Linked DNA regions of Saccharomyces cerevisiae S288C. Changing the gene in region 1 together with any one later gene gives a genetic interaction. Each region holds a gene or a part of one and is shown in the gene's direction. Other genes may lie near its edges. The genes, in order: AIR1, MAK21, CHD1 and CDC50.

Evidence for each region.
Region 2: mutations in AIR1 (region 1) and MAK21 together harm fitness more than expected from each alone (negative genetic interaction), as found in Saccharomyces cerevisiae (3 studies listed by BioGRID).
Region 3: mutations in AIR1 (region 1) and CHD1 are lethal when combined (synthetic lethality), as found in Saccharomyces cerevisiae (3 studies listed by BioGRID, with this or other methods).
Region 4: mutations in AIR1 (region 1) and CDC50 together harm fitness less than expected from each alone (positive genetic interaction), as found in Saccharomyces cerevisiae (2 studies listed by BioGRID).

What each region holds. Positions count from the first base shown.
Region 1 is NC_001141.2:210,399-213,772, reverse strand, and holds AIR1 (TRAMP complex RNA-binding subunit), read left to right. Parts: upstream 1-1,767; coding exon 1,768-2,850; downstream 2,851-3,374. Other genes in the region: threonine--tRNA ligase THS1, read right to left, coding at 1-1,274. UniProt on the Saccharomyces cerevisiae protein: Component of the TRAMP (TRF4) and TRAMP5 complexes which have a poly(A) RNA polymerase activity and are involved in a post-transcriptional quality control mechanism limiting inappropriate expression of genetic information.
Region 2 is NC_001136.10:568,750-574,258, forward strand, and holds MAK21 (RNA-binding ribosome biosynthesis protein MAK21), read left to right. Parts: upstream 1-1,899; coding exon 1,900-4,977; downstream 4,978-5,509. Other genes in the region: E2 ubiquitin-conjugating protein UBC5, read right to left, coding at 485-884, 975-1,021; YDR061W (uncharacterized protein), read left to right, coding at 5,415-5,509.
Region 3 is NC_001137.3:503,585-510,353, forward strand, and holds CHD1 (chromatin-remodeling ATPase CHD1), read left to right. Parts: upstream 1-1,807; coding exon 1,808-6,214; downstream 6,215-6,769. Other genes in the region: GCG1 (gamma-glutamylcyclotransferase), read right to left, coding at 1-198. UniProt on the Saccharomyces cerevisiae protein: ATP-dependent chromatin-remodeling factor which functions as substrate recognition component of the transcription regulatory histone acetylation (HAT) complexes SAGA and SLIK. It recognizes H3K4me.
Region 4 is NC_001135.5:284,800-288,494, forward strand, and holds CDC50 (aminophospholipid translocase regulatory protein CDC50), read left to right. Parts: upstream 1-1,962; coding exon 1,963-3,138; downstream 3,139-3,695. Other genes in the region: CCR4-NOT core subunit CDC39, read left to right, coding at 1-1,644; OCA4 (Oca4p), read right to left, coding at 3,371-3,695.

The sequences.
Region 1 (3,374 bases):
AAACAATGACCTGGACAGTTCATTGGTTTTAGACCGAAAGTTTCCTTCTCTACTTCGAAAGTAAACATGTTTTCCTTGTAATTGGCCCAGTGACCTGAGGTTTCCCACAATTTGGAGTTGTACATGTTTGGAGTGATGACTTCTTCGTAACCTCTCTTACGGTATTCGGTTCTCAACAAGTCAACCAAAGTGTTGTAAATTCTAGTACCATGAGGTAACCAAAAGCAAGAACCTGGGGACATTTCATTGAATAAGAATAATTCTTGTTCTTTACCAATCTTTCTGTGATCTCTCATAGAGGCTTCCGCCAAGAACTTCAAATGAGCATCCATTAATTTTTTGTCTGGAAAAGAGATACCGTAAACTCTTTGTAAAGAGTCGTTTGTCGCATCACCTAAGAAATAACAAGAAGAGTTCTTTAATAGTTTGAAAGCTTTGATACGCCCAGTATGTGGGATATGAGGGCCGACACATAGATCAATCAATTTACCGCAACGGTAGACGGTAGTAGCACCTCCATCTGGAACCTTTGTCTGTACCAAGTAAGTCTTATACTTCGAATAATGAAACATTTTCAAAAGATCTTCTTTGGACATGACCAATCTTTCAAATTTTTGCTTTTGCTTGATAACATTCTTGGCAACGCCTTCCAATCCTGGGAAATCAGCTTGGGAGACGGTTCTTTCTGGAGATTCAGATATATCTTTCATACTATCTCTAACAGCCATTTCATAAAAGAACCCATCATCAGTTGGAGGACCTAAACAAATATGGGCACCTAGGTGGCACTCACAAGATTCACCCAAGACGTGGGCAGACGAATGCCAAAAGACCTTCTTACCTTCGTCAGATTCGAAATCTAGCAGTTCTAATTTGATTTCTTCGTTGGCTTCGCCTTCAAATGGTCTATCTAAGTCCCATAATTGACCATTAACCTTAGAAATACATAACCTGTCTGCTAAAGATTTAGAAATTCCTTTGGCAATATCCATCGGAGTGGTTTCCCAAGAAGTGGCTTCCTTAACGGCTCCATCCTTCAAGACAATCTTCAATGGAACACGTGGCATAGAAGCAACTTTATCATTGTATTCCTTTTGTAATCTGTCAAACATTTCAATTCTTTCCTCGATGAAAGTTGGTTCAGGATCCAAGTACAAGGACTGTTGCTTGGATTTTTTGTTTTCTTTCTTATTTGGTTTTACGGCATCATTACTACTATCCTTGACAGACAGCTTTTTGACTTGCTCAGTGACACCTGCTTCACTAGCACTCATCTCCGTTTTATTTTCTTGCTCTGTTAGCTGTTAATTTTTCGTTAACCTGTAATCTTTCAGATGACACATCATTTAATGCACGATTTATCTAACTTTCTTTTGTTGCCATCGCAAGTATTTTTTTCAAGTGAAAATTCCTCGAAAAAAATTTTTTAGCAAGATAGCCGTATATGATGATTTATACATATCACAAGGTAAGAGTCATTTAAACAGTAAAAAGAAAGCGTTTGCGTCAGCATATACAATGGCACATCTGTAAATTCATTTATATATTATATGAAAATGTGACTTCAATATTTCTAAAGTGACTTCCATAGGCGCTTGTCCTTTGTCTTTGTTTCTTGCTACTGTTAAAGCTCATTGACAGGCTTTTCAATTTCTTGGTCCATGAAAAAATGAAAAATTACTAAAAATTAGCGATGCGATGAGTGGGAAAGGTCCAACATTCTCACATGAGGAATACAAAGGAAGCGGACCACGGAGCTAAGATATTATGTCGACATTGTTATCTGAGGTAGAAAGTATCGATACTTTGCCGTATGTGAAGGATACAACACCGACAGGAAGTGACTCGTCATCATTTAATAAATTATTGGCTCCTTCCATAGAGGATGTAGATGCTAACCCAGAGGAACTGAGGACTTTACGTGGCCAAGGACGGTATTTTGGAATAACAGATTATGACTCAAACGGTGCGATAATGGAGGCAGAGCCAAAGTGTAATAATTGTTCGCAAAGAGGTCATTTGAAAAGGAATTGTCCCCATGTGATATGTACTTACTGCGGGTTTATGGATGATCATTACTCACAACACTGCCCTAAGGCTATTATTTGCACTAATTGTAATGCAAACGGCCATTATAAATCACAGTGTCCTCATAAATGGAAGAAGGTGTTCTGCACGCTTTGCAATAGCAAAAGACACTCAAGAGAAAGATGTCCTAGTATTTGGAGATCTTATTTATTAAAAACAAAAGATGCTAACCAAGGTGACTTCGATTTTCAAACAGTTTTCTGTTATAACTGTGGGAATGCCGGTCATTTTGGCGATGACTGTGCTGAAAGAAGGTCATCGAGAGTGCCGAACACTGATGGAAGTGCATTTTGCGGTGATAACTTAGCCACAAAATTTAAACAACACTATTTTAACCAATTGAAAGACTATAAACGTGAAGCTTCACAAAGGCAACACTTTGATAACGAACATGAATTCAACCTGCTTGACTATGAATATAACGACGATGCATACGACCTCCCTGGCTCAAGGACTTATAGAGATAAAATGAAATGGAAGGGCAAAGTGCAGTCAACAAGGAACAAAAATAGTAGCAATAATAGATATGAAAGCAGTAATAACAGGAAGAAGAAGTCACCATTTAGCGCACAGAACTACAAAGTGACGAAAAATAAAAGAGTTCAGACACACCCCTTAGATTTCCCCAGAAGTAGCCAAAACAACAGAACGAACGATTATTCGAGCCAGTTCAGCTATAATAGGGACGACTTCCCCAAGGGTCCTAAGAATAAGAGGGGCCGATCATCTTCTAACAAAAGCCAAAGAAATGGCCGTTATTGAGATTATATGTGAGTTTTTTTAATTTTTTTTCCATTCTCATTGCAGCAAACATATATATGTTTATTTTATAGGGATTTTTTGTATCGATAGAGCAGTACAAAGCAAAAAAAAAGTACATTGTTGGAGTCTCGTATTTCTTACTTACTGTCTTAGCAGTAGTAGAAGAGATTTGTACAAAAAAATATGGTCTCTAGCGGGATCGAACCGCTGATCCCCGCGTTATTAGCACGGTGCCTTAACCAACTGGGCCAAGAGACCAGATATTTCATATGTTCTGTTGTATTACGGGCTCGAGTAATACCGGAGTGTCTTGACAATCCTAATATAAACAGTCTTAGGGAAGTAACCAGTTGTCAAAACAGTTTATCAGATTAATTCACGGAATGTTACTTATCTTATATATTATATAAAATATGAATCATACTAAGTGGTGGAAGCGCGGAATCTCGGATCTAAACTAATTGTTCAGGCATTTATACTTTGGGTAGTTCAGCTAGGGAAGGTCGGGTTTTGTCTCATGTTGT
Region 2 (5,509 bases), on another chromosome or scaffold:
TATTCTTCCTTGTACATATTTTCAATAGCGGTTCATATTAGGCTCATTATGAGAAAAGGTTGGTGAGAAATTTAGCATATTTTAAACAATCATTTAGCTAGATGAATCAGAATGTTTTTCCGACAAATAGTAGCTCGCGTGGCGTAATGGCAACGCGTCTGACTTCTAATCAGAAGATTATGGGTTCGACCCCCATCGTGAGTGCTTTGTTTCTTCCGTGATAGTTTAATGGTCAGAATGGGCGCTTGTCGCGTGCCAGATCGGGGTTCAATTCCCCGTCGCGGAGAATTTTTTTTAATTGATAGTAGCAGGTACAGGAGAAAGAGTAAATAATAGAAAGCAAGGTACGTGATGGGAATTGATCAAACTAATATCGCTATACCTATAAGAATTTGCGTGTTTGTATACGTAAAGAATATATAATATATTGATGTGTGCGCTGAGGAAGGTAAGTCTACACAATTTATCCGTTAGCCCAAATTAATCAAACAGCATATTTTTTAGTCCACTCCTTAGCGGTGGCTTCATACTTAGCCTTATCTGTCTTGTAGATTTGAGCAATTTCAGGGACCAAAGGATCGTCGGGATTAGCATCTGTTAAAAGAGAGCAAATAGACAACAAAACTTTTGAAAGGGTTAGCGCCGGTGACCACTGGTCCTTTAAAATATCAAGGCAGATATTACCACTCGAATTAATATTCGGATGATAAATTTTGGTCGTAAAGTTTACCTTCGGTGGCTTGAATGGATAATCAGTTGGAAAGTGAATAGACAAAAAGAAAACGCCACCAGCGTAGGGTGAGTCTGAAGGACCCATAATAGAGGCTTGCCAATGATACAGGTCATCCCCTACAGGTCCTGCTGAACATGAAGCAGGAGGATCTCTTCGGAAAAAAGTTCAAAAAAGAAACTCATGTTAGTAATCCTTTTTCTTTACAGATCAAGAAAAATCATTCATTTTATTTTTAACATACCTCCCTAAATCACTTAATTCCTTGGCAATACGCTTGGAGGAAGACATTTTTAGTTTAGTTGAGGGTGGTGAGCAGAAAATGACTTTTCAAGATGGTAGTCAATAAGCAGTCCTGACCTTGGAAAATAAAACTCCAACCATCTATTAAAATCCGGGATACAATTATTTTTTATAATTTTGGGTCGGCTATCTTTGGTACAAATGAGTAAGGCGGCAGCCGCTTTATTACCCGCTCGCAGTGGCAACTACCTCCACCACAGCCATGCTTCAAAAGCGCTTGCTACGAGAGTTTACACCGTACTAGCACTAGCAATACATCTAGATATCTAATTGAATTACGCACAATATAAGAAAAATCGGTTTATGAGCCTAATGAATGAGTACCAAAATAAGTAGGCAAAAAGTACAGCCTCTCATGGAACAATGAACACAACCCTAGTATAATTCATCTGTACTTTGGGACTTTCTGTGTAAGTAAACCAAGACATAATTTAATATATTTGAGAAATCTATCCTTATCCAATTGGTTGTTGCAGATGATTTCATATAAGCAAAAATGTTGGTATAACTTTCACCACATGCAATAGCAGATCTTTTGTATAACGCGTATTGCCCAACATAATCTAAGATCAGATCATTAATAAGAAAATCTCATTTCCAAAACCGATTGGACATATACTGTTTAGTAATAACCGCCGATATGATGTTCTTCCGTTCTCTTGCCTCTGTATTCCGTTACCCGTTGCAGAATGAAAAATTTTTTCTTTTGGCGATGAGGTAAAAAATTATCAGAGATGCCAAAGTAATGGAGTTGCGAATAAGAAAGCATTATGTCGTACACATCGGAAGCGAAATTCTATAGTTTGATAAATTTCTATAGATATTAAACCTCTCCAGTGTCTTTGTTGGTACAGTAATCAAAAATAATGAGTGAGAACAACGGCAATCCGCTGGATTTGTCTTCACTAAGAAATAAGATTTCGTCAAAATTGCGAGACAATAACAGCAAAAAGGCGAAGAAAACCCACAAAGGCAAGGACGTGAAGGCCAGTAGTAATTCAAAGAAGGTAAATGAGGACATACGTCGTGAAGCACTAGCATTGGGTGCCAGCGAAGAAGATCTAAAATTGATTCAAGGATTAAGCGATGATGATGACGCTAAGAGCGAACAGGAATTTGATGCCGTCGCTGACGAGGATGCTGACGACAAGGGATTCAAGAACGATCTTCAAAATTTCATGAAGAATGTAGGATTTGACCAACACAAACTCGAAGATGTAGACGATGACGATATAGAAGAAGAATCCACTAGCTCCAAAGAATCTAAAATACCCGCTCAAGAGAAGGAACATGCACAATCAAACATTGCATCATCGACAATAGAGAAAACCTCCCAAGAGTCAATCGATAATGGCAGTGAACAAGAAGAAAACACAGTAGAAGAGGCTAATCTTAGTTCAGACCAAGAGCCAGAATCAGAATCTGCAGAGAAAGAAAAGAAAGAGGAGAAAGATGGAGGTTTAATTACTCAAACTACTATTATCTCATCTGACAAACTTATTATTCCTTACGATAAACCATGGTATGAAATTCCATTGGATCCTCAAGTTGGACAAAATGATGATGTTGAAGAATTATCCAAGGAACAGATTGAGAAACTTTTTGAAAGAGGTAAGCAAACGCTAGAAGCTGACAACCAAACTTACTATGAGGAGTTTACAAAGGACTCATCGCAGGCCAAGTTCATGTCCCAAATCCTATCGGACGGTACCCTCAACGATAAAATATCTGCCGTAACTTTACTCATTCAAGATTCGCCATTGCATAACACTAAGTCTTTAGAAACTCTGGTTTCATATTGTGGCAAAAAATCGAGAAACTCTGCTTTACAGAGTTTAAACGCTTTGAAGGATTTATTCTTAAATGGTCTTTTGCCCAACAGAAAGCTGAGGTATTTCAAAAATCAACCTGGCTTATCTATGATGCTAAACAAGAAAACTCTTGCAATTTTCTATTTCGAAGATTATTTAAAGAAACTGTTCTTTCGTGTTTTAGAAGTCTTGGAAGTGCTTTCCCACGATCCAATTATTCACGTTAGATTACAAATATTAAATCATGTATTTGATTTATTGACCAACCAACCAGAGCAGGAATTTAATTTATTGAGATTAGGTGTAAATAAAATTGGTGATATTGATTCCAAAGTTTCTTCGAAGGCGTCATATTTACTACTGAAGTTGGAACAAGCTCATCCGAATATGAAATCTATTGTCATTGATGCTATCGTTGATATCGCATTGAGACCGAATGCGGATTATCATACCACTTACTATTCTGTTATTACTTTAAACCAAACCATCTTAAAAAGATCAGAAGACTCTGTTGCTAATAAATTAGTAAAAACATACTTCACTTTGTTTGAAAAATTCTTGATTAATACTGATAAAGACAATACCAATGGCGTTGTTAAGAGTAACTCAAAGTCGTATGAGGAGAAAAGAAAGAAGAACTTTAAAAAGGGTAAACACGGTGGTAAATCTGTAAAAATCGAAAAAACGGAAAATGAAGTTTTAGATGAAAAGAACTCAAAATTATTCAGTGCTTTGTTAACAGGTATCAATCGTGCATTCCCATTCGCTCAGATTCCAGCGTCTGTCTATGAAGTACATATGGAAACTCTTTTCAAAATCACACACTCCTCTAACTTTAACACCTCAATCCAAGCATTAGTTTTGATTAATCAAGTCACCGTCAAAGCAAAGTTGAACAGTGATCGATATTATAGAACATTATACGAAAGTTTATTTGACCCCAGACTGGTGAACTCTTCTAAGCAGGGTATTTACTTGAATTTACTATACAAATCATTAAAACAAGATGCACTCAACGTTGAACGAGTAGAAGCCTTTGTCAAGAGAATTCTTCAAGTTTGTTCTCATTGGTTGAACGTCGGCACCATTACTGGTTTTTTCTTCTTATTAATCCAGTTGGCTAAAACAGTTCCACAAATAAAAAATCTTCTAACCAACACGCCAGTTGATTACGAGTATGAATCTGATGCAGAAGAGGAGCAAGGGGACAAGGACATAAAAAGGAAGGAATACGACGGCCGCAAGCGTGATCCAAAGTTCGCCAATGCTGAAAAATCTTCTTTATGGGAAATCAACAACTTCATCAATCATTTTCATCCTACTGTGAAAACATATGCAAACGCCTATGTGACAGGAGAAACAGAGCAAATAGCTAAACCAGACCTGGGTCTATTTACTCTATCACACTTCCTTGACAGATTTGTCTACAGAAGTGCCAAGCAGACCAATACAGCAAGAGGTACATCTATTATGCAACCTCTGTTTAGTGGCTCACGAGTTAATGACTCTGTCTTAGTTAAGGCATCTGATATTATGCATGACCAGGGTCCCGTGAACACTGAAGACTGGCTAACTAAAAAAGTTGAAGATATCAAACCTGAAGATAAATTCTTTTATCAATATTTCACTACCAAGAAAACCGCTGATGGAAAAGGAAAGAAATCTAACAAAGCATCTAATTTCGATAGTGATGACGAAATGGATGAAAATGAAATTTGGAGTGCTTTGGTTAAATCGAGACCAGATGTTGAAGATGATAGCGACGACAGTGAACTTGACTTCGCTGAAGATGATTTCAGCGATTCAACTAGTGACGATGAACCTAAGCTGGACGCAATTGATGATGAAGATGCTAAAAGTGAAGGCAGCCAAGAAAGCGATCAAGAAGAAGGCCTCGATGAGGATATTTTTTACAGTTTCGATGGAGAACAAGACAATAGTGATAAAAAACGTTCCTTCGCTGAAAGTAGTGAAGAGGACGAGAGCAGCGAAGAAGAAAAAGAAGAAGAAGAAAATAAAGAGGTATCCGCAAAAAGAGCAAAGAAGAAGCAGAGAAAGAATATGCTCAAAAGTCTACCGGTATTTGCATCTGCCGACGATTATGCTCAATATTTAGATCAAGATTCAGACTAGAAAATAATAATACATTAACTAAACACTTCGGTGTTGTAAATTAAATAAGGAAAACAGAATTTTGTACAATAAAAAACGGTCCAATACGAAACCTTGAAGCGAAAGACGCATATCAGAGTTTTGCTGATAACTCTACTTATGTCCGCTTTTCAACATTATTAGAGCGGGAGTAAACGGAAAAAGAGTAATGCGGAAATAGAAACGGATTTTAGCTACAACTATGTCAGTTGAAATCGCCGAGATTGCTGACATCGTGAGACGAAACTAAAAACGATGGAACCACGTGACTCCTATTAGAAATAAATAATCCAGAACTCATTTTTAACCATTTTGTTTATATAGGCACATTTGTAGCGACAATTTTCTGTTAGCTAATTGCAGTAAGCAAAACAAATTTGTGAATACTTGATTAATATTCTGTGAAAGATTTTTTAATTATGAGTACCAATAAGTTCGTTGTACGAATAACGAATGCGCTCTTCAAGTCATCACTGGCTAGCAACAGTCCACCTGTTTACCCTAAGAGGATTAG
Region 3 (6,769 bases), on another chromosome or scaffold:
TATAATATCCTCATACGGGATTAGTGTGGCCACTCTTCCTGGGTTTGCAGGTGTACCCCTATGATCAGTGGAACTTTGCCAGAACCGACGAGCAAAACCGTGAATTATTGCCGGTATTCTATGCGTGTAATGAGACGGAGGCTTGTAAATCAGAGATCCGTAGCCTAGGACCCAGATACCACTGTTGTCATTAGTCATTTGGCCATACAACTTTTTATAAGCCCAAACCAACGTCGTGATTGCTTCTTCCAAGGTTAAATCACCTCGAGACTAAACTCATAGCTAATATTGACCTTACCTTTTAGCGTTACCCAGAATACCAATTATCCCGCTCCTTGGCGAATCCAAAAAAAAAAAAAAGGAAAAATTACTGGAGTGGCAAATTTTCTCATTCTCTTCATATAAACCACTAGGGAGGACGTCGAAGAAAAGTCTGCTAGGTGTTGGTGACAACTTCCAAGCTTCCCTTAACACAAGGGAACTATTGATAACCGCTGGTTGACATACGCCTTTAAAAGAGGTCATACGTTGCGACACTCTCTCCCTCCCCTCTCACTGATGTTTTCTGTCTTCAATTTCTGGCAATAATCTTAAGACGAAGCAGTCAAGTCCTAAGGAAGAAAACGATTTTTGATTGTTTTAAGTTGCCACTACGTAGTGGTCAATATGGAAGCCTCTGCGCAATGGAGAAACACGGGTGGCATAGGTCAGCGAACCATACAAGCGAGAACACTCTCATTACTTTATGGATCATCTCAGTATTTCACCGTTCGAGGAAAATCTTCTTTCGCAGGCCGAAGTCACCGTGATATATTTGATACTTTTGAGATATCCTTGAAAGGTAAGCTTCTATGTTGTACGTTTATTTTTTTTAACTTTCTTTGTTTTAGCTTTTACTTCGATGATATGTTACTGCCCCATATACGGTAAAAGATCATACGTTGCCAAAATCAAAAGACATGATTGCCTGTATGTTTTCCTCAGCCCATCAATGCGTAATACGGTCAGCTAAACGCTGCTCACAAGCCAAGGGCTTGCGTGTTGCTCGCGCATCGGTTGGATATCACTGGTAGGCCACTTCTTCAATATTTTGAAAATGAAACACGCTAAAGTTGAAAACTTAATTATCAACCGTCCAGAAGGTGTAGGCAATTTCATCTAAGAGAATAAATTTAACATCCCACGATCCTTATCACATCCCATCCCTACACTAGGACATATGTTCCCAAACATTACAAAGTTCTTTCCTGATATCATTACTGATATAAGATTATGTCAATTATTGATACCATTAAAGACATGTAATATGCAACACTTGTCGAACAGATCATAGTTCAGTAGTCGATTATCATACTGTTACCCTCTCGTTATATAATTTTACTTTTTTTCCTTTCCTTCTTTTCAATTTCGAAACTGTACCACGAGAAACATTGTGTAGAAGAATCTTGTCCTCATTATATCTGGTTAGTACTATCGTATTCTTGTCCGGACATCTAAGTCAAGTTGATAAAAGTTTGGGGTTATCAAGTCAAGATAAGCAAGCTTGCAGAAGTCACCTTCTCTTTTCCGTTACTTCTTTTGTGAATATACACATACTTGTTTCTTCCAAAGGAGAAAATTGAATAAGCCTAAACATCGACCATCATTTTCTTTAATTCGTACTTGAGTTCCACTAGCTTACCTATTCACTAACGACAAAGTTTCTCAAAGGTTTTTATTTTTCATTTGCTTCAAGACTTTTCCGTTATTTCTTTAAACCTATACCCAATTCAAAGCAGAACCTTTTCTAATTTAATTCTCACTTATAATGGCAGCCAAGGATATTTCTACTGAAGTGCTGCAAAATCCTGAACTATATGGGCTGAGGCGGTCACATAGAGCTGCTGCGCATCAACAAAACTACTTCAACGATAGCGATGATGAGGACGATGAAGATAATATTAAACAGTCGAGGAGGAAGAGAATGACCACGATTGAAGACGACGAAGACGAATTTGAAGATGAAGAAGGCGAAGAAGATTCTGGAGAGGACGAAGATGAGGAAGATTTTGAAGAAGATGATGATTATTATGGCTCTCCTATAAAACAAAATCGATCAAAACCGAAATCAAGAACAAAATCAAAGTCTAAATCTAAGCCAAAATCTCAATCTGAAAAGCAATCTACAGTGAAAATACCAACAAGGTTTTCTAATCGTCAAAACAAAACGGTAAATTATAACATCGATTATAGCGATGATGACCTCTTAGAATCTGAAGATGACTATGGTTCCGAGGAGGCTTTATCAGAGGAAAATGTGCATGAAGCATCTGCCAATCCTCAACCAGAGGACTTCCACGGTATTGATATTGTTATCAATCACAGACTAAAGACATCTTTGGAAGAAGGAAAGGTCTTGGAAAAGACTGTTCCTGACCTCAATAACTGCAAGGAAAATTATGAATTCTTAATCAAATGGACAGATGAATCTCATCTCCACAATACCTGGGAAACTTATGAATCCATTGGCCAAGTCCGTGGATTGAAGAGGTTGGACAACTATTGTAAGCAATTCATCATCGAAGATCAACAAGTAAGATTAGATCCATACGTTACCGCCGAAGATATAGAGATCATGGACATGGAACGTGAACGTAGGCTTGATGAATTTGAGGAGTTCCACGTGCCAGAAAGGATTATTGATAGCCAACGTGCTTCGTTGGAAGACGGCACCTCACAATTACAGTATTTAGTTAAATGGCGTCGTCTAAATTACGACGAGGCTACTTGGGAGAATGCCACAGATATCGTGAAATTGGCACCTGAACAAGTGAAACATTTTCAAAACAGAGAAAACTCTAAGATCCTCCCACAATATTCCAGTAATTATACTTCACAGAGACCGCGTTTTGAGAAGTTAAGCGTGCAACCTCCGTTCATTAAAGGTGGGGAATTAAGAGATTTTCAACTAACTGGTATTAATTGGATGGCATTTTTGTGGTCCAAAGGTGATAATGGTATACTGGCAGATGAGATGGGCCTGGGAAAAACGGTCCAGACTGTCGCCTTTATCAGTTGGCTGATATTTGCTCGTAGACAAAACGGACCTCACATCATTGTCGTTCCTTTATCGACAATGCCTGCCTGGTTGGATACTTTTGAGAAATGGGCGCCTGATTTGAATTGTATATGCTATATGGGCAACCAAAAATCAAGAGATACCATTCGAGAATATGAATTTTACACCAATCCAAGGGCAAAAGGGAAAAAAACAATGAAATTTAATGTTTTATTAACAACATACGAGTACATCTTAAAGGATCGTGCTGAATTAGGAAGTATAAAATGGCAATTTATGGCCGTTGACGAAGCTCATAGACTAAAAAATGCTGAATCATCCCTTTATGAATCATTAAACAGTTTCAAGGTCGCCAACCGTATGTTAATCACAGGCACACCTCTTCAGAATAATATTAAAGAGTTAGCTGCGTTGGTTAATTTCCTAATGCCCGGAAGGTTTACGATTGATCAGGAGATTGATTTTGAAAACCAAGATGAAGAGCAAGAAGAATATATTCATGATTTACACCGAAGAATACAGCCTTTTATTCTTCGTCGGTTGAAGAAAGACGTAGAAAAATCACTTCCATCAAAGACAGAGCGTATTTTAAGAGTTGAATTGTCCGACGTACAGACTGAGTACTATAAAAATATTCTGACTAAAAACTACTCTGCTTTAACTGCTGGAGCTAAAGGGGGTCATTTCTCTTTACTGAATATTATGAACGAGTTGAAAAAGGCATCGAACCATCCATATCTCTTCGATAATGCTGAAGAGCGCGTCTTACAGAAATTTGGGGATGGTAAAATGACTCGAGAAAACGTACTAAGAGGTTTGATCATGTCTTCGGGTAAGATGGTTCTTTTAGACCAATTATTGACCAGATTGAAGAAAGATGGGCACCGCGTGTTGATTTTTTCACAAATGGTCAGAATGCTTGACATTTTAGGCGACTATTTATCCATTAAAGGTATTAACTTCCAAAGGTTAGATGGTACAGTACCATCTGCTCAAAGAAGGATATCTATTGATCATTTCAACTCTCCGGATTCAAACGACTTCGTATTTTTACTTTCTACTCGTGCTGGTGGTTTGGGTATCAACTTAATGACCGCCGATACCGTTGTGATTTTTGATTCCGATTGGAATCCGCAAGCCGATTTACAAGCAATGGCTAGAGCTCATCGTATTGGCCAAAAAAATCACGTTATGGTGTATAGGTTGGTTTCAAAAGACACAGTAGAGGAAGAGGTATTAGAAAGAGCACGGAAGAAAATGATTCTGGAATATGCTATTATTTCTCTTGGAGTGACAGATGGTAACAAATACACTAAGAAGAATGAACCAAATGCCGGTGAATTATCGGCAATCCTGAAGTTCGGTGCAGGCAATATGTTCACTGCCACAGACAACCAGAAAAAATTGGAGGATCTTAACTTGGATGATGTTTTGAATCATGCAGAGGATCACGTTACTACTCCAGACTTAGGAGAGTCGCATCTTGGCGGTGAAGAGTTTTTGAAGCAATTCGAAGTGACTGATTATAAAGCTGATATAGATTGGGATGATATCATTCCAGAAGAAGAACTAAAAAAACTCCAAGATGAAGAGCAGAAACGCAAGGATGAAGAATATGTTAAAGAACAACTTGAAATGATGAATAGAAGGGATAACGCCCTAAAAAAAATAAAAAACAGTGTTAATGGTGATGGGACCGCCGCAAACTCAGATTCTGACGACGATAGTACTTCCAGATCTTCTAGAAGAAGAGCAAGAGCTAATGACATGGACTCTATTGGTGAATCGGAGGTGAGAGCTTTGTATAAAGCTATTTTAAAATTTGGCAACCTAAAGGAGATTTTGGACGAGTTGATTGCAGATGGAACCCTGCCGGTCAAATCATTTGAAAAATACGGTGAAACTTACGATGAAATGATGGAAGCAGCTAAAGACTGTGTACACGAGGAAGAGAAAAATAGAAAAGAAATCTTGGAGAAACTTGAGAAGCATGCTACCGCCTATAGAGCAAAGCTAAAAAGCGGTGAAATAAAAGCAGAGAACCAACCAAAGGATAATCCGTTGACTAGATTATCTTTAAAAAAAAGAGAAAAGAAAGCCGTCCTTTTCAACTTTAAAGGTGTTAAATCTTTAAACGCCGAATCTTTACTAAGTAGAGTGGAGGATTTAAAGTACTTGAAGAACTTGATAAATTCAAACTACAAAGATGATCCATTAAAGTTTAGCCTAGGCAACAACACACCTAAGCCTGTACAGAATTGGTCATCTAATTGGACGAAAGAGGAAGATGAGAAGCTATTGATTGGTGTTTTCAAATATGGATATGGTTCCTGGACACAAATAAGAGACGATCCATTTCTAGGCATTACTGATAAAATATTCTTGAATGAAGTTCACAATCCGGTAGCAAAAAAGTCGGCAAGCTCCTCTGATACAACACCAACACCCTCAAAGAAAGGAAAGGGAATAACGGGTTCTTCAAAAAAAGTACCTGGTGCCATTCACTTGGGCAGAAGAGTTGATTATCTATTATCCTTCTTAAGAGGAGGCCTAAATACAAAGAGTCCCAGTGCTGACATAGGCTCGAAAAAACTCCCTACTGGTCCTTCCAAAAAGAGACAAAGAAAACCTGCTAATCACAGCAAATCCATGACTCCAGAAATTACAAGTTCTGAGCCTGCAAATGGCCCGCCAAGCAAACGTATGAAAGCCCTCCCAAAAGGTCCTGCCGCCTTAATAAATAACACGAGATTGTCTCCAAACAGCCCCACGCCCCCATTAAAGTCCAAGGTTTCCAGAGATAATGGTACAAGGCAATCAAGCAACCCCAGTAGCGGCAGCGCTCACGAAAAAGAATATGACAGCATGGATGAAGAAGACTGTCGACACACAATGAGTGCAATACGTACTTCTTTGAAGCGACTTAGAAGAGGCGGCAAAAGTCTTGATCGTAAGGAATGGGCCAAAATTTTGAAGACCGAATTAACTACGATTGGTAATCATATCGAATCGCAAAAGGGCTCATCGAGAAAGGCAAGCCCAGAAAAATATCGCAAGCACCTTTGGTCTTACAGTGCCAACTTTTGGCCTGCCGACGTTAAGAGTACAAAGCTGATGGCAATGTACGACAAGATAACAGAGTCTCAAAAGAAGTGAAACAATTTTTCTTCACCACATTTTCCATTGTTCCTTCCCCCCATAACTATAAACGTATTTATGTATATATATTTGCGTGTAAGTGTGTGTACTATAGGGCACCGTAAAGTAATAATGCTTAATTAGTTACTACTATGACCATATAAGAGGTCATACTGTATGAAGCCACAAAGCAGATAGATCAATCATGTTTAACGAAAACTGTTAATCGAAGATTATTTCTTTTTTTTTTTCTCTTTCCTTTTTACAAAGAAAATTTTTTTTGCGCTTTTTGCCATCACCATCGCAAGTTCTGGGACAATTGTTCTCTTTCGCTCCAGTTCCAAGGAAAGAGGTTTCTGTTTTACTTAATAGAAAGTGTCATCTTGTATTTTATATCTCTTCTTTCTTGTGTAAAATTCTTTAGTTTTGATTTTGTATTTTTAGGACAGTGAGCTACGAAGTAACATTTTTACTTAATAACCGTTTGAAGCATAGAGCAGGCCCTGGTACCACCACCTAATATCTGGCTTTTTATTCAATAAAAACTCAAAAAAAAAAATCCAAAAAAAACTA
Region 4 (3,695 bases), on another chromosome or scaffold:
AAAGGTACCAAAACCACAAGAACAGAAAAGCTTTACTTAGTATTTACGGAATGGGTAAAATTACTTCAAAGAGTTGAGAATAACGACGTAATCACAACTGTTTTTATCAAGCAATTAGTCGAAAAGGGTGTTATCAGCGATACTGATAATTTACTTACATTTGTCAAAAGTTCTCTTGAGCTATCAGTTTCTTCATTCAAAGAAAGTGACCCGACTGATGAGGTTTTCATCGCTATTGATGCTCTAGGATCGCTAATTATAAAATTGTTGATTTTACAGGGTTTCAAAGATGATACAAGAAGAGATTACATAAATGCAATATTTTCTGTGATCGTTTTAGTGTTTGCTAAGGATCATAGCCAAGAGGGTACCACATTCAATGAACGACCATATTTCAGACTATTTTCTAACATCTTATACGAATGGGCTACCATCAGGACGCACAATTTTGTTAGAATATCTGATTCCAGCACTAGGCAGGAGCTGATCGAATTTGATTCTGTATTTTACAACACTTTCTCAGGATATTTGCACGCTCTGCAACCATTTGCCTTCCCTGGATTCTCATTTGCATGGGTGACACTATTATCACACAGAATGTTATTACCAATTATGCTAAGATTACCCAATAAAATAGGTTGGGAAAAGTTAATGCTTTTGATTATCGATTTGTTTAAATTTTTGGACCAATACACAAGTAAACATGCAGTCTCTGACGCTGTTTCGGTTGTTTATAAGGGAACACTGCGTGTTATTTTAGGCATTTCGAATGATATGCCATCCTTTTTGATTGAAAATCACTATGAATTAATGAACAATCTACCTCCAACATATTTCCAACTAAAGAATGTTATTTTATCTGCTATTCCTAAGAATATGACCGTTCCCAACCCATATGACGTGGATCTTAATATGGAGGATATTCCAGCATGTAAAGAACTACCTGAAGTCTTCTTTGATCCTGTAATTGATTTACACTCATTGAAAAAGCCAGTTGACAACTACCTACGTATTCCCTCAAATTCATTATTAAGAACAATACTAAGCGCTATTTACAAGGATACCTATGACATAAAAAAGGGCGTAGGCTACGACTTTTTATCTGTTGATAGTAAATTAATTCGCGCTATTGTATTACATGTGGGCATTGAAGCTGGAATAGAGTATAAGAGAACTTCTTCAAATGCGGTATTTAATACGAAGTCTTCTTATTATACTTTATTGTTCAATCTGATTCAAAATGGTAGCATCGAAATGAAATATCAAATTATTCTGTCTATTGTGGAACAATTGCGGTATCCAAACATCCACACCTATTGGTTCAGCTTTGTGTTAATGAATATGTTCAAAAGTGACGAATGGAATGATCAAAAACTTGAAGTCCAAGAAATTATTTTAAGAAACTTTTTAAAAAGAATTATTGTTAACAAACCACATACCTGGGGTGTTTCAGTTTTCTTTACTCAGTTGATAAACAATAACGATATTAATCTTTTAGACCTGCCCTTTGTACAAAGTGTTCCCGAAATTAAACTAATTTTACAACAATTAGTAAAATATTCCAAAAAATACACAACCAGTGAACAAGATGACCAATCCGCCACCATCAATAGAAGGCAAACCCCTCTACAATCCAACGCATAAAAAAACTGCATTTATTTATATACGAAAATCATGATTTCAGAAAAAAAAATATAACTTGTATAATACTATATTTCAGAGAATACTATTTTGAATAAGAATAGAAGCAATTTCGATTAACTTTTCTTACTGTATATGGGTCGCTTTCACTTTTGAACTACTGAAAATTAGTGTTACCCGTATTATTGTTTTGGAGAATAATAATAATAATGAGCATCAATTTATATCAAACAAGAGCTGCAATTACCTTATGTCCATGACGCACTGCGAACAAAGAATAATTGAGTAATCGAACTTGAAGTTCTATAGAACAGCTTGTATATGGTTTCATTGTTCAAAAGAGGTAAGGCTCCACCGCTCACGAAAGAAGGCCCCACTTCTAAAAAGCCTCCTAACACAGCGTTTAGACAACAAAGGCTTAAGGCATGGCAACCAATACTGTCTCCTCAAAGTGTGCTTCCGTTGTTAATATTCGTTGCATGTATATTTACTCCTATTGGTATTGGACTCATTGTAAGCGCTACTAAGGTACAAGATCTAACAATTGATTATAGTCATTGTGATACAAAAGCATCTACAACTGCTTTTGAAGATATACCAAAGAAGTACATTAAATATCACTTTAAAAGTAAAGTTGAAAATAAACCACAATGGAGGCTAACCGAAAATGAAAATGGCGAACAATCATGCGAACTGCAGTTCGAAATCCCAAACGATATCAAGAAATCCATTTTTATATATTATAAAATAACCAATTTTTATCAAAATCATCGCAGATATGTCCAATCGTTTGACACAAAGCAAATATTAGGGGAGCCTATCAAAAAAGATGATCTGGATACAAGCTGTAGTCCAATAAGAAGTAGGGAAGACAAAATAATATATCCCTGTGGGTTGATCGCTAATTCCATGTTTAATGATACATTTTCTCAGGTGTTGAGTGGTATAGATGACACAGAAGACTATAATTTAACTAACAAGCATATATCATGGAGTATTGATCGTCACAGATTTAAAACCACCAAGTATAATGCTAGCGATATTGTTCCACCGCCAAACTGGATGAAGAAGTATCCCGATGGGTATACAGATGAAAATCTTCCTGATATCCATACTTGGGAAGAGTTCCAGGTATGGATGAGGACTGCAGCCTTTCCCAAGTTTTACAAGTTGACGTTGAAAAATGAATCTGCTTCTTTACCGAAGGGTAAATATCAAATGAACATTGAGTTGAATTATCCGATTTCACTCTTTGGTGGCACAAAATCATTTGTACTGACTACAAATGGAGCTATTGGTGGTAGAAATATGTCACTAGGCGTACTGTACCTCATCGTTGCAGGGCTTTGCGCCTTATTTGGCATCATTTTTTTGGTTAAATTAATCTTCCAACCAAGAGCGATGGGTGATCACACTTATTTGAATTTTGATGATGAAGAAAACGAGGATTATGAGGATGTACACGCAGAGAATACAACATTGAGGGAAATTTTATAGAGGCCAAAAAACAAACTTTAGTGCCTGTAGGTATTTGTGTTTATAAGTAAACAAGTTTTGTTGACTTCCTGAAACGTAAACAAAAGAAAAATTGAAGTATGCCTTTTTACGCTTGGAAAATAGTGCGACAAAGAACTCCCAGGGTTTGCTATTCCCATTTAGATGATGAAATGATAGAAAAGTGGAAAACGTTTATCATGAAATCATCTATACATATACGTAAAAATGTAAACTATGTAAAAATATGTTCCCTATAAAAGTGATGCTCTTCCGGAACGTTTTCTTTTTCCCACAAATCTCGTTGAAACCTGAACCAATCTGGTAATTCAGAATCACAGGGTATCCTTATTTTGACGTTATCTTTTCCCCTTGCTTTATAATAGCCATAATCTCCATTTTCTTTTTTATTAAATGCTAATCTATACCTATGGCCAAAAATTCCTAGGTCAGAAGAGGTTTTCTTCAAATCGTCTCCTAGAACTCCACTTACTTGTAATACTTTATTATTTTTCACTTTGGTTTCGATTTGATTTATTAATGTCAAAAGCCGCTGAGGC